Linked DNA regions of Xenopus tropicalis. The main gene of each other region encodes a partner of the protein of the gene in region 2 in a complex. Links are inferred from orthologs where the notes say so. Each region holds a gene or a part of one and is shown on either strand. Other genes may lie near its edges.

Evidence for each region. Proteins that work in one complex are often made in the same cells at the same time.
Region 1: cep290 (region 2) and tmem216 share a complex: the UniProt entries of both Homo sapiens proteins name them as parts of the tectonic-like complex. The link is inferred for Xenopus tropicalis from reciprocal best matches to the Homo sapiens genes CEP290 and TMEM216.
Region 3: cep290 (region 2) and b9d2 share a complex: the UniProt entries of both Homo sapiens proteins name them as parts of the tectonic-like complex. The link is inferred for Xenopus tropicalis from reciprocal best matches to the Homo sapiens genes CEP290 and B9D2.

What each region holds. Positions count from the first base shown.
Region 1 is NC_030678.2:178,905,698-178,910,033, forward strand, and holds the start of tmem216 (transmembrane protein 216), read left to right. Parts: upstream 1-1,516; 5' UTR 1,517-1,592; coding exon 1,593-1,605; intron 1,606-3,094; coding exon 3,095-3,111; intron 3,112-4,336. UniProt on the Homo sapiens protein: Part of the tectonic-like complex which is required for tissue-specific ciliogenesis and may regulate ciliary membrane composition.
Region 2 is NC_030679.2:54,320,534-54,323,418, forward strand, and holds the end of cep290 (centrosomal protein of 290 kDa), read right to left. Parts: coding exon 2,882-2,885; intron 2,178-2,881; coding exon 2,074-2,177; intron 1,270-2,073; coding exon 1,087-1,269; 3' UTR 525-1,086; downstream 1-524. UniProt on the Homo sapiens protein: Involved in early and late steps in cilia formation. Its association with CCP110 is required for inhibition of primary cilia formation by CCP110.
Region 3 is NC_030684.2:79,325,636-79,329,804, forward strand, and holds the start of b9d2 (B9 domain-containing protein 2), read right to left. Parts: upstream 2,821-4,169; 5' UTR 2,750-2,820; coding exon 2,704-2,749; intron 1,935-2,703; coding exon 1,845-1,934; intron 1,125-1,844; coding exon 999-1,124; intron 823-998; coding exon 506-822; 3' UTR 1-505. UniProt on the Homo sapiens protein: Component of the tectonic-like complex, a complex localized at the transition zone of primary cilia and acting as a barrier that prevents diffusion of transmembrane proteins between the cilia and plasma membranes.

The DNA.
Region 1 (4,336 bases), on a different chromosome or scaffold from region 2:
GGGTGGGATCAGGGTGGGGATCAGGGTGGGGATCAGGGTGGGGATCAGGGTGGGATCAGGGTGGGGATCAAGGTGGGGATCAAGGTGGGAAAAGGGTGGGATCAAGGTGGGGATCAGGGTGGGGATTAAGAAGGAAACAGGGTGGGAAAAGGGTGGGGATCAGGGTGGGAAAAGGGTGGGATCAGGGTGGGGATCAAGGTGGGGATCAAGAAGGAAACAGGGTGGGAAAAGGGTGGGGATCAGGGTGGGGATCAGGGTGGGGATCAAGAAGGAAACAGGGTGGGAAAAGGGTGGGGATCAGGGTGGGAAAAGGGTGGGATCAGGGTGGGGATCAAGGTGGGGATCAAGAAGGAAACAGGGTGGGAAAAGGGTGGGGATCAGGGTGGGAAAAGGGTGGGGATCAGGGTGGGAAAAGGGTGGGGATCAGGGTGGAAAAAGGGTGGGATCAGGGTGGGATCAAGGTGGGGATCAAGGTGGGGATCAAGAAGGAAACAGGGTGGGAAAAGGGTGGGGATCAGGGTGGGAAAATGGTGGGATCAGGGTGGAAAAAGGGTGGGATCAGGGTGGGATCAAGGTGGGGATCAGGGTGGGAAAAGGGTGGGATCAGGGTGAGGATCAAGGTGGGGATCAAGAAGGAAACAGGGTGGGAAAAGGGTGGGGATCAGGGTGGGAAAATGGTGGGATCAGGGTGGGAAAAGGGTGGGGATCAGGGTGGGGATCAAGGTGGGGATCAAGAAGGAAACAGGGTGGGAAAAGGGTGGGGATCACGGTGGGGATCAGTGACCTGTAACTCCGCCCATGTGTTACTAAAAGTAAATATAAAGGGGAAGTTGACCCTTTATTGGGCTATGGGTTCTATAATGAAGTAACTGTGAGTAACATAATTAGGTGAGTAGCAGTGAGACGAGGAAACCGTGGGTGGGAACATCCGGCTCTTGAAGCGAGGGTCTCGCATCTCAGCCCCAATTAATAACGACTGCGCATCACTACTGAGAGACAGCAGCATCGGCCCCCAACTCTCCCACCCTCGCTCCTCTACTGCCCCCCGTGCAGTCATTAGTGCTCATACTGCCTCTTGTGTTTGGAATAACCTCTTCAGTGTTATAAAGGGTTGTCTCCATCTTGCCCTACTGTCTCCATCTTGCCCTACTGTCTCCATCTTGCCCTACTGTCTCCATCTTGCCCTACTGTCCCCATCTTGCCCTACTGTCTCCATCTTGCCCTACTGTCCCCATCTTGCCCTACTGTCCCCATCTTGCCCTACTGTCCCCATCTTGCCCTACTGTCTCCATCTTGCCCTACTGTCCCCATCTTGCCCTACTGTCCCCATCTTGCCCTACTGTCCCCATCTTGCCCTACTGTCTCCATCTTGCCCTACTGTCTCCCTGGGCAGAGGAGCTAGCAATCTAATTTGGCTGCAGGTACACTCTCCATTGAACAGTTCCCAGAAGCCCAGCCAGTCCCAGTTATTTAGTGGCCCTGAATGTTAGGGGGGAAGGCGCTAGGACCCCGCGGCGCACAGGCGGCTCAGGGGGTCACGTGTTGCGGAGGTTTCCAGGGAGTGACGTCACAGGCGTCCTTAGAGCAGCAAGATGGCGCCCAAAGGTAAGCGGGAGGCGAAGCAGCGGATGGAAGAGCGGCCCCCCTGCTCCCTGTAATGGCGCCTGTAAGCGTGGGGCTACTGTGTCCCCTATGCAAGAGGTGCAGCTGATCAGCGGGACTACAACTCCCAGCATCCCCTGCACCCGATGCCGCTACGCTGTCCCCTTACCTGCTGCATAGGGACCCGCACCGCTAGTGTGCAACTACAACTGGGGGGGGGGGGGGGGGGCTGTTAGACCACAATTCCCGGCATCCCCAGAGAAGCAGCGACTTCTCCCTGTTACCCACAATAGCGCACATTCCCCGGGCAGGTGGGTATATTATGGGCAGGTGGGTATATTATGGGCAGGTAAGTGGGTATATTATGGGCAGGTGGGTATATTATGGGCAGGTGGGTATATTACGGGCAGGCGGGTGGGTATATTACGGGCAGGTATGTGGGTATATTACGGGCAGGCGGGTGGGTATATTACGGGCAGGCGGGTGGGTATATTACGGGCAGGCGGGTGGGAATATTACGGGCAGGCGGGTGGGTATATTACGGGCAGGTATGTGGGTATATTACGGCAGGCGGGTGGGTATATTACGGGCAGGCGGGTGGGTATATTACGGGCAGGCGGGTTGGTATATTACGGGCAGGTATGTGGGTATATTACGGGCAGGCGGGTGGGTATATTACGGGCAGGCGGGTGGGTATATTACGGGCAGGTATGTGGGTATATTACGGGCAGGCAGGTGGGTATATTACGGGCAGGCGGGTGGGTATATTACGGGCAGGCGGGTGGGTATATTACGGGCAGGTATGTGGGTATATTACGGGCAGGCGGGTTGGGGTATATTACGGGCAGGCGGGTGGGTATATTACGGGCAGGCGGGTGGGTAATATTACGGGCAGGGGGTGGGAATATTACGGGCAGCGGTGGGTATATTACGGGCAGGCGGGTGGGTATATTGAGGGCAGGCGGGTGGGTATATTACGGGCAGGCGGGTGGGTATATTACGGGCAGGCGGGTGGGTATATTACGGGCAGGTATGTGGGTATATTATGGGCAGGCGGGTGGGTATATTACGGGCAGGCGGGTGGGAATATTACGGGCAGGCGGGTGGGTATATTATGGGCAGGCGGGTGGGTATATTACGGGCAGGCGGGTGGGAATATTACGGGCAGGCGGGTGGGTATATTATGGGCAGGCAGGTGGGTATATTACGGGCAGGTGGGTATATTACGGGCAGGCAGGTGGGTATATTACGGGCAGGCGGGTGGGAATATTACGGGCAGGCGGGTGGGTATATTACGGGCAGGCGGGTGGATATATTACGGGCAGGCGGGTGGGTATATTACGGGCAGGTATGTGGGTATATTATGGGCACCTACAGGGGGAGACCAAACATGGCTGCTCTGAGTGCTGGGAGGGGCCCCCGGCCCCCACTGGGTCTTCTGCTTGGTATCATGTGACTTGTGCTGCCCCCTAACTGTGCGTTTGCTTCCCAGGGAGAAGGCGCGGAGTTGTATCCTTGGCACTTACATAGGTGAGACGGTACCAAGTCACCTGTACAGGTATAGCCTGGCCCCGCCCACTGCTTCTTATATTCCTTTAACAATTCATGGGGGTACATTACCCCTTATAATACATGAGTGATACTCAGAGTTCCCTGTATAACTCAGCCTGCAGCCTTGTGCCTTTATATGGGGGGCACAGAACCCCTCAGTGACTGCTAATATCCTTATCATTTACAGTAGGGGGTACATTATCCCTTATAATACATGAGTGATACTCAGAGTTCCCTGTATAACTCAGCCTGCAGCCTTGTGCCTTTATATGGGGGGCACAGAACCCCTCAGTGACTGCTAATATCCTTATCATTTACAGTAGGGGGTACATTATCCCTTATAATACATGAGTGATACTCAGAGTTCCCTGTATAACTCAGCCTGCAGCCTTGTGCCTTTATATGGGCACAGAACCCCTCAGTGACTGCTAATATCCTTATCATTTACAGTAGGGGGTACATTATCCCTTATAATACATGAGTGATACTCAGAGTTCCCTGTATAACTCAGCCTGCAGCCTTGTGCCTTTATATGGGGGGCACAGAACCCCTCAGTGACTGCTAATATCCTTATCATTTACAGTAGGGGGTACATTATCCCTTATAATACATGAGTGATACTCAGAGTTCCCTGTATAACTCAGCCTGCAGCCTTGTGCCTTTATATGGGGGGCACAGAACCCCTCAGTGACTGCTAATATCCTTATCATTTACAGTAGGGGGTACATTATCCCTTATAATACATGAGTGATACTCAGAGTTCCCTGTATAACTCAGCCTGCAGCCTTGTGCCTTTATATGGGGGGCACAGAACCCCTCAGTGACTGCTAATATCCTTATCATTTACAGTAGGGGGTACAGTATCCCTATAATACATGAGTGATACTCAGAGTTCCCTGTATAACTCAGCCTGCAGCCTTGTGCCTTTATATGGGGGGCACAGAACCCCTCAGTGACTGCTAATATCCTTATCATTTACAGTAGGGGGTACAGTATCCCTTATAATACATGAGTGATACTCAGAGTTCCCTGTATAACTCAGCCTGCAGCCTTGTGCCTTTATATGGGGGGCACAGAACCCCTCAGTGACTGCTAATATCCTTATCATTTACAGTAGGGGGTACAGTATCCCTATAATACATGAGTGATACTCAGAGTGGGATTACATTACTCGGTACATTGT
Region 2 (2,885 bases):
CATCTTATAAGGTTTGATTTACTGCTGTATCGTTATTTTTCTATACAGAAAGTAAGCTGAAGAGTTGGCCTCATACTACAAGTCTGGGATCCATTATCTGGAAACATTTTATCCAAAAATCTCTGCAAAGGCCCTTTCCCATATGATTTCCTCTTTTTCTGTAATAATAAAACTGTACCTTTTACTTGATCCCAACTAAGATATAATGAATCCTAACTGAAGGCAAAACAATGCTATTGGGTGTATTAAATGTTCATAGATTTCATGGCTGTACTTTAAAGCTACTGAAACCTTATGTATTTTATTTAGAATTGCCTTTTTACCTTATGAAAAATTTGGATTTGAAGATCTCCTTTACAAATAGCCAGCACTTGGTTTAATCCATGCTGCAGCATTAACCTGCCTCTAGAAGCACCCATGTACCAGCATGTGATCTAACATACATTCTGGATTTAATCAGCTGTGAAAAACAATAAAAAGACATTATTTGCACACATAGAAGGAGACTGATTTCAAGCACACAGTTTCAGTCTCAATAACTGTTTATTTAAGTCAAAAACTATAAAAAAAAATACATCCACAAAAGACTAAATACAGAACATTTGACCTTAAATAAACCTTTTTCTATACATCTACACATATTTACATAAATAACTAGTTAACTGAAATTTGGAAGGCAATGTGTTTGATTTCAGTTTAAAAAAATTAGAGGGTCTAAAGTAAATAAAAGAAAAATTCTCCGATTTCTTTTCTGAGCGCTCAATTTTTTTTTTACTTTAGATCCTCTTCAAGTGCAAAGCTTTTTTTCCAAATGCTTCTATAAAAAGTAATTGCTATTTTTTTCAGAATTATCTACTAATAGTTTATTCAATGTGCTTAAACGTCTGAAAATATACGGACCTAGAAATGTCATTTTGGAATACAATATACTTTGTAGGTACCCTCATTAGTAGGGGAAAATGATATATACTTACAAGCAAAAACAAGTTATGCAGTAATGGGTAGTCCCAGTAGTCTGCTTTAAATAGCACACTGTATATAAATAGCACTGTCTTGTGTAACACAACCAAGTAAAATTGGTTTATCCTATTCATTAACTCCTGGAAAATCAATATGAACCCCAAACTGCTCAGAAAGTGCTTTTAACTTCTCTTCTAGAATAATATTCTTCTTAACTTCTTCATTATAGTTATACTTTAAGTCTTCTATCTCTTCAAAAAATGTAGGGTCAAAGTTCTGTAGCTCTTTTTTCAAGTTTTTTATCTCCTCCTGTAAAATAGAAAATACTTTTGAGTTTATTATATTTACCATATTTATAATAAATTCTCACTTTTATTTTTTAGCCTAAGGTGAAATAGCATTAGGAAATGCAAACAAATAGGAATATAAGAATGGCAGTGAGTTAGCTAAATATGTTCTTTACTCCAACCATATGCTATGAAGAAAGAAATAGGCAAGACTTTCATCTTATTTGGTTTCTATTTTAACAAAAAAAAAAAAAGTAAGGTAAAATAAGAACTGAGCAGGATTTAATCAATAACTACCAGCACTTGACTTTGGCTTGGGGGATAATGAATTACAATTGCTATCTGGGAACAGTTTCCACCAATGCTGTAGAGCAGGGACAAGATAAGCAACACAGCATGAACTGCGTGATAGCCTTCCTAAGTTTCTAGCACTGATGACACTTTGGGAAAGGGTTAAGCAGCCTAATTAATTAAACACTACAACTAGTTGGGGAAAAACAGACTTTTGTTATGCAGGGCACAACACAATTAAGCTTAGACTAAATCTGCTTGTTTGGTAAGGTTGCCAAACAAGCAGATCTTTACCTAAATGCAGATGACAATTTTCAAATCTGCCCAATAGATATCTGGGCAATTCTTGGCCAGATAACAGCCAGTCAGGCCTTCAGACTGACCTCATACATGGGCCAATAAGATGCAAGAATCGATCAAGAGGGGCTGAGTTTGCAGCTAATGGCTGCTGGCACATGAGCAGCTTCAGTATGTTGTGTAAAATACTTGTATAAGATCTGGATATTTTTTAAAATGGTACATTTAATTTACTTACTCTTAATTGTTGTTTCTCTAAATCAGATGTTTTGATATGTGTTTGCAAAAGAATGATTTCCTCCATGAGTTTGTCATGTTTGCTGTCCATTAGAGAGTTGTAGTCTACCCAAAAAAAAAATAAATAAAAAAGATCATACACATAATATCCAAATTGTGTTCCAATGGCATACAACATATGACAGCAATGTCATTGAAATGCTTAACCCTTTTGGTGGCAGGTAAAAGAATTAAATATAACAACAAAGTTTTAACCCCTTAATGCACATGTTAATGATGTATAACCATGCTTCTTTTCGGAGCATAGGCAACCAGCACTGTGGTTAGAGAGGATGTGGCCAGGAACCAGGAAATAGACAGTTTTACCTATTCTTAGGGCGAGGGCATACGGTGTGTATATCCCCCTTTTCTCAGCCCTGCATTTTTCAGTCAGGCTAAGAGAAGCAGATTTGCTTGCCTATAGTCCTCTGCCTGCATTAAAAACTATGGCAACTGCCCAAGTGCGGGCACACAGAGCGGAATGGATAGCATTTCAGCCTGAAAAACGCAAAAGCGGGTGTTTTCTAGGCCGACTTCCAATCCAGAGGAGCATAGGCAACTGGATATACACACAGAGTGCTTTTGTTCTTACAGTCTATTCAAATAGTATTCCATGGCGCTGGCCTCTCACATTTATCAGCTCAATAACAAAAATTTAATTAAAAAATATATATCAAATGTATTACATTTCACAAATACAGTATTACTATAGGTATTTTACTATAGATAAGGATTAGGTTCACTCGTGAAATTTATAAAAGCAGGAGTACCTCC
Region 3 (4,169 bases), on a different chromosome or scaffold from region 2:
GGAATCACATTCACATTATAACTGATTTAAGATAATCGTCAAAAGAGCCTGAAAAGTATTTAAAAACAAAAACATTCAATTTACTTTATATATAAATGTATTCTGGTAAGTGATTGATGTGAATGAGGTATTATGAAAATGAAAGGAGAGAAAGGGAGTGTGCTTTATAACAGGGCTGAAAACAAAGCAAGGATAGTAAAAAAGTGATACAATGAGGAAAATGGCTAATATCAGAAGTAACAGACAATTTGGGAAAGTGTAAGAGATGTTAGTAGAAGGGGAGGAGGATAAATGTTACCAGATTATGGTACAGAAGAGATATGAAGTATCAGGTTTATTAAGAAGGGTTGAGAAAAGGGGCTCATTAAATACTGAGCAGGATTCTGTTTGAGGTGTTCACAAGTAATTCCATAAAATGTCTTGCTGATTATTTCAGTGCATATGTCCTTGGCACCAAAAATAATCATTTGGAAAACCAGGAACAAGTTCTTAGCACTCTGCAAAATCAAGAACACTCCACCCCGTATCGTTCAAAGTTCCTGAGTATGACCGTTAATTGGAGATGTACTTGCCCCATGGCCACTGTTTGCAGACGGTAGCGATCAGACCCTCCATAAATCAGGCTGGATGACTTAAGTTGTGGGCCGCCGCCAACAAACATCTGACATATTTGCTCCTGCCATGTTCCCAGGGGTCGCCAGGTTGGGCTAAGCAATGAGTGAGTACCAGGGGTGGAAGGGATGTGGAGGAAGCTGTAACCATAAAGTTCATTACGACCAAATGTGTCCTGATGCCAGACTTGAAGGTGAAGTTTTGGCCAACCTAAGTGGGGGAAATACAAGCATTTAAAGTACATAATGTACTTTGCACCTTTGGTAGGTAAAGTGTGTTCATTTGAATGGGTAGGGTTAGGGTTGGGAGCCTGTGCAGGGGCTCCAATGTGATTACAATAATTTTAACAGATTCTTTATTTTATTCTTTATTCTATCATACTTTACCTTGTAATCCTTTAGTAGCAAAGTGCATGTCAATAGGGTGAGACCAGAATGCCATGTCATCATTTTGTGGATGATCTACTTGTGTCTGGCCTTCCACAACCCCAGAAAGTAGCTTCCAGGCTCCACCTAAATGTTATGGTAGGGAACGATGTTATTACAAATAGAAATATCATATGGTTAATAATAGATAGAGCCACACCAGTATCTTATATATCAAGATTTTCTCAAAACATTAACATTTCCTTTAAGACTCTTTTATATTGTTTATGTAAAGTAAAGCCAAAAATGGGCTTTAAGTTATACAAACACAGCCTTCTCCTTCACTTCACATTACTAGAATAAATACAGGGGTCACCTGACGCATATATTTCTTCTTCACATCACAAACTTAAAAATATATTACAGGTATAGGACCCATTATTCAGAATGCTCGGGACCAAGGGTAATTTGGATCTCCATAGCTTAAATCTACTAAAGAATCAATAAAACATTAATTAAACCCTATGGGATTGTTTTGCATCCAATAAGGATTATTTATATCTTAGTTGGGATCAATTACAAGGTATTGTTTTATTACTACAGCGAAAAAGGAAATCTGTTTTAAAATTCTGAATTATTTGATTAAAATGGAGTCTATGGGAGACGGGCATTCCATAATTCAGAACTTTCTGGATAACGGGTTTCCGTATAAGGAATCCCATACCTGTACTAGAATAAAAGTGGGGCCAACTGAATGCATATACCACATTTTCAACAGCGTACAGCTCCACAAAAAAACAAAACTGTGTTTTTTTTATGTACAATTGATATATAGATCCATTTAAAATGCAAAATGATGACTCTTACCTGTGTGTACTCCCCATTTGCAAAACAGGCTGTGTTGGGGGAAGCCACTAGCCCCAATAATTTGCCCTATGATGTGAACCTCTGCCATTACTGTAGGAGGAAAGGTAAAATATATTTCAGTTACATCATTATTGTGAAGAAACTAAATTATAATTTTTATTAGAAGTAGGTCCAACAAACAATAACAGCTAGAAATTACACTTCTTATACCATCTGACGCCAATATAAATATACAAGCCTCAGTGACCAAGTTTTCCTTTTTTTCTTGGCTGTGTGTGCAAAAACTTTCTTTTGTGCCTACTTCCTAAACCTATTTGAGCACTTTTATAAAAACTATGCGCAAGTCTAAAAAAATTCTAAATTATGCCTTTACATACAAAATTCTTTTTGCGCACCACAATTTATTACAGTAAAACTTTATTTTTCATCCCTTACTTAGGTTTTTTTATTTTGTGGTCCCTCCAAAATATAATGATTAATACATTTCAAGGATATGACATCCCCCATTATTTTCTAGTGGCCTCAATAATGTAAAAGGGCGGTTCTAATGCATGTGCCCTGACATCGTAATTTAAATATCCACAAATGCATAGCTTAGAAGGAACATTAGTATTACATATACATTTTATTTATTACCTACTTTTAGCGCAGTGTTATTACTACGTATATTATTAGTATATGTAGCTAACCCCCAGCAATAAGCCCTGTAAGACGTGGCATGTCATAACCAAACTGTTCATTACACATCCAATAAAACCAATTTGAAAGCATAATTTTATTTGTCATTACCGCATAGTGTATTACATATGTAACTAACCAGGTCAATGACCAACATCAAGCAAAAAAAACCTACTTATACCTGCACAAGTTGGGCTGTAATGTAATTCATGAGTGTGGCTATTCATGTACAGTGAATTTCATAACTACATAGAACACTGACAGTGAAGGCACTATAGAATCAACAAATAGAATCCCTAAACTGAGGGCCCTACAGCTTACACTTACAGAATCAGCCAAGAGCCTCTGTTTGTCAACTATCAGCTGCTGGAAAACGTAATACCCCCATTACACTCCCTACACTGGCGCCATTGTGTGTGCTATGAGCATATAAATTACTGACGATACATATTTGGATGATGGTGCAAAATCATCAGGACTCCATACCGACAACCTGCGAATCATATCTACCTTTGCGTATATAACACCGCAGTAGGGTAAGATGTAAGCGCTTTACCAGTTTATTAGCTCTAAATATTTTTCGCCCTCTTTTACATCCCGCTATAAATGCTTCCCCTAACCGCACAACTGCAACATAAATCTCACCGGACCCCCTCTGAAAACCGGCTCCTTGTCTTAGCTTTTTGCCCCTTCTAATTCTCACTTTGGTAGACTCCGCCTGTTGCTGTGCAACCGTTGCATACAGCAGATCTGATTGGTTCACCGGCGGAAGTGACGTCTGTTGTAGGCGAAATGTGTAAACTGATCGAGACTGATAGTCTGTGGGAGACGAAGTATTGGGATTAAACGATAGCTATTAATACTGCAATCTGTGATTTATAATACAACATAGTGTAATGGAACGTTGCTTAAACAGATATAGGGCGTCGTGTCGTGTCGGGTTCTGAGGCATTACGTATACAAGAGACATATTAGCGTCCATTTAAAGTTCAGCAAGTTAGTGGCTGAGGGGGGTGTAATGAGAATTAGCATGGCCATGCTGAAAATGCGTTTGTCTGCTCCCACTTTGTAGTCACACCCCCAAATGTAAAGCCTTTAAACCAAAAAGAACCCAGCTTTTAAAATGCTGGAAACTTTGAATGGCAGCGTCAGACGAAACGCATTCACTTTTATGACAGACATAGTGGCCAAAATATTTAATTACATTTTAAAAGAAGTAGGGAGATACTTGGATACATGAACGCAGAAGAATTTATTTAGGATATCCCTATCTGAAAAGGTGTCGTTGATCCAATTCATGCAAGAAATACATTAGTATTTTTGTTATAAAAGATTGCTAAAGCTGCTTTACTGCAAGACAAGCTGGTAATGAGCCAATTTTTGCGGAACATATGCTGTTATTTTAGTGTCTTTAAAAGATCCTGTCTGTTGCTTCACAAGATAACTGTTTGCCCCATTTTACCCCTTTCTCATTGAGTGATTTATTCTGCATGCTCAGTATGCATTTCTTATCAGATCTCTCCATTTGTCTCTGCCCATTTCCTTGTAAAAGAGCATTCTTTTGAGAGAGTGCACTGTTACTGACAGGTACAGATAGAGACCAAAAGAAAGATAGGGTACTTGAATACATTGCAGTTCACAATACTA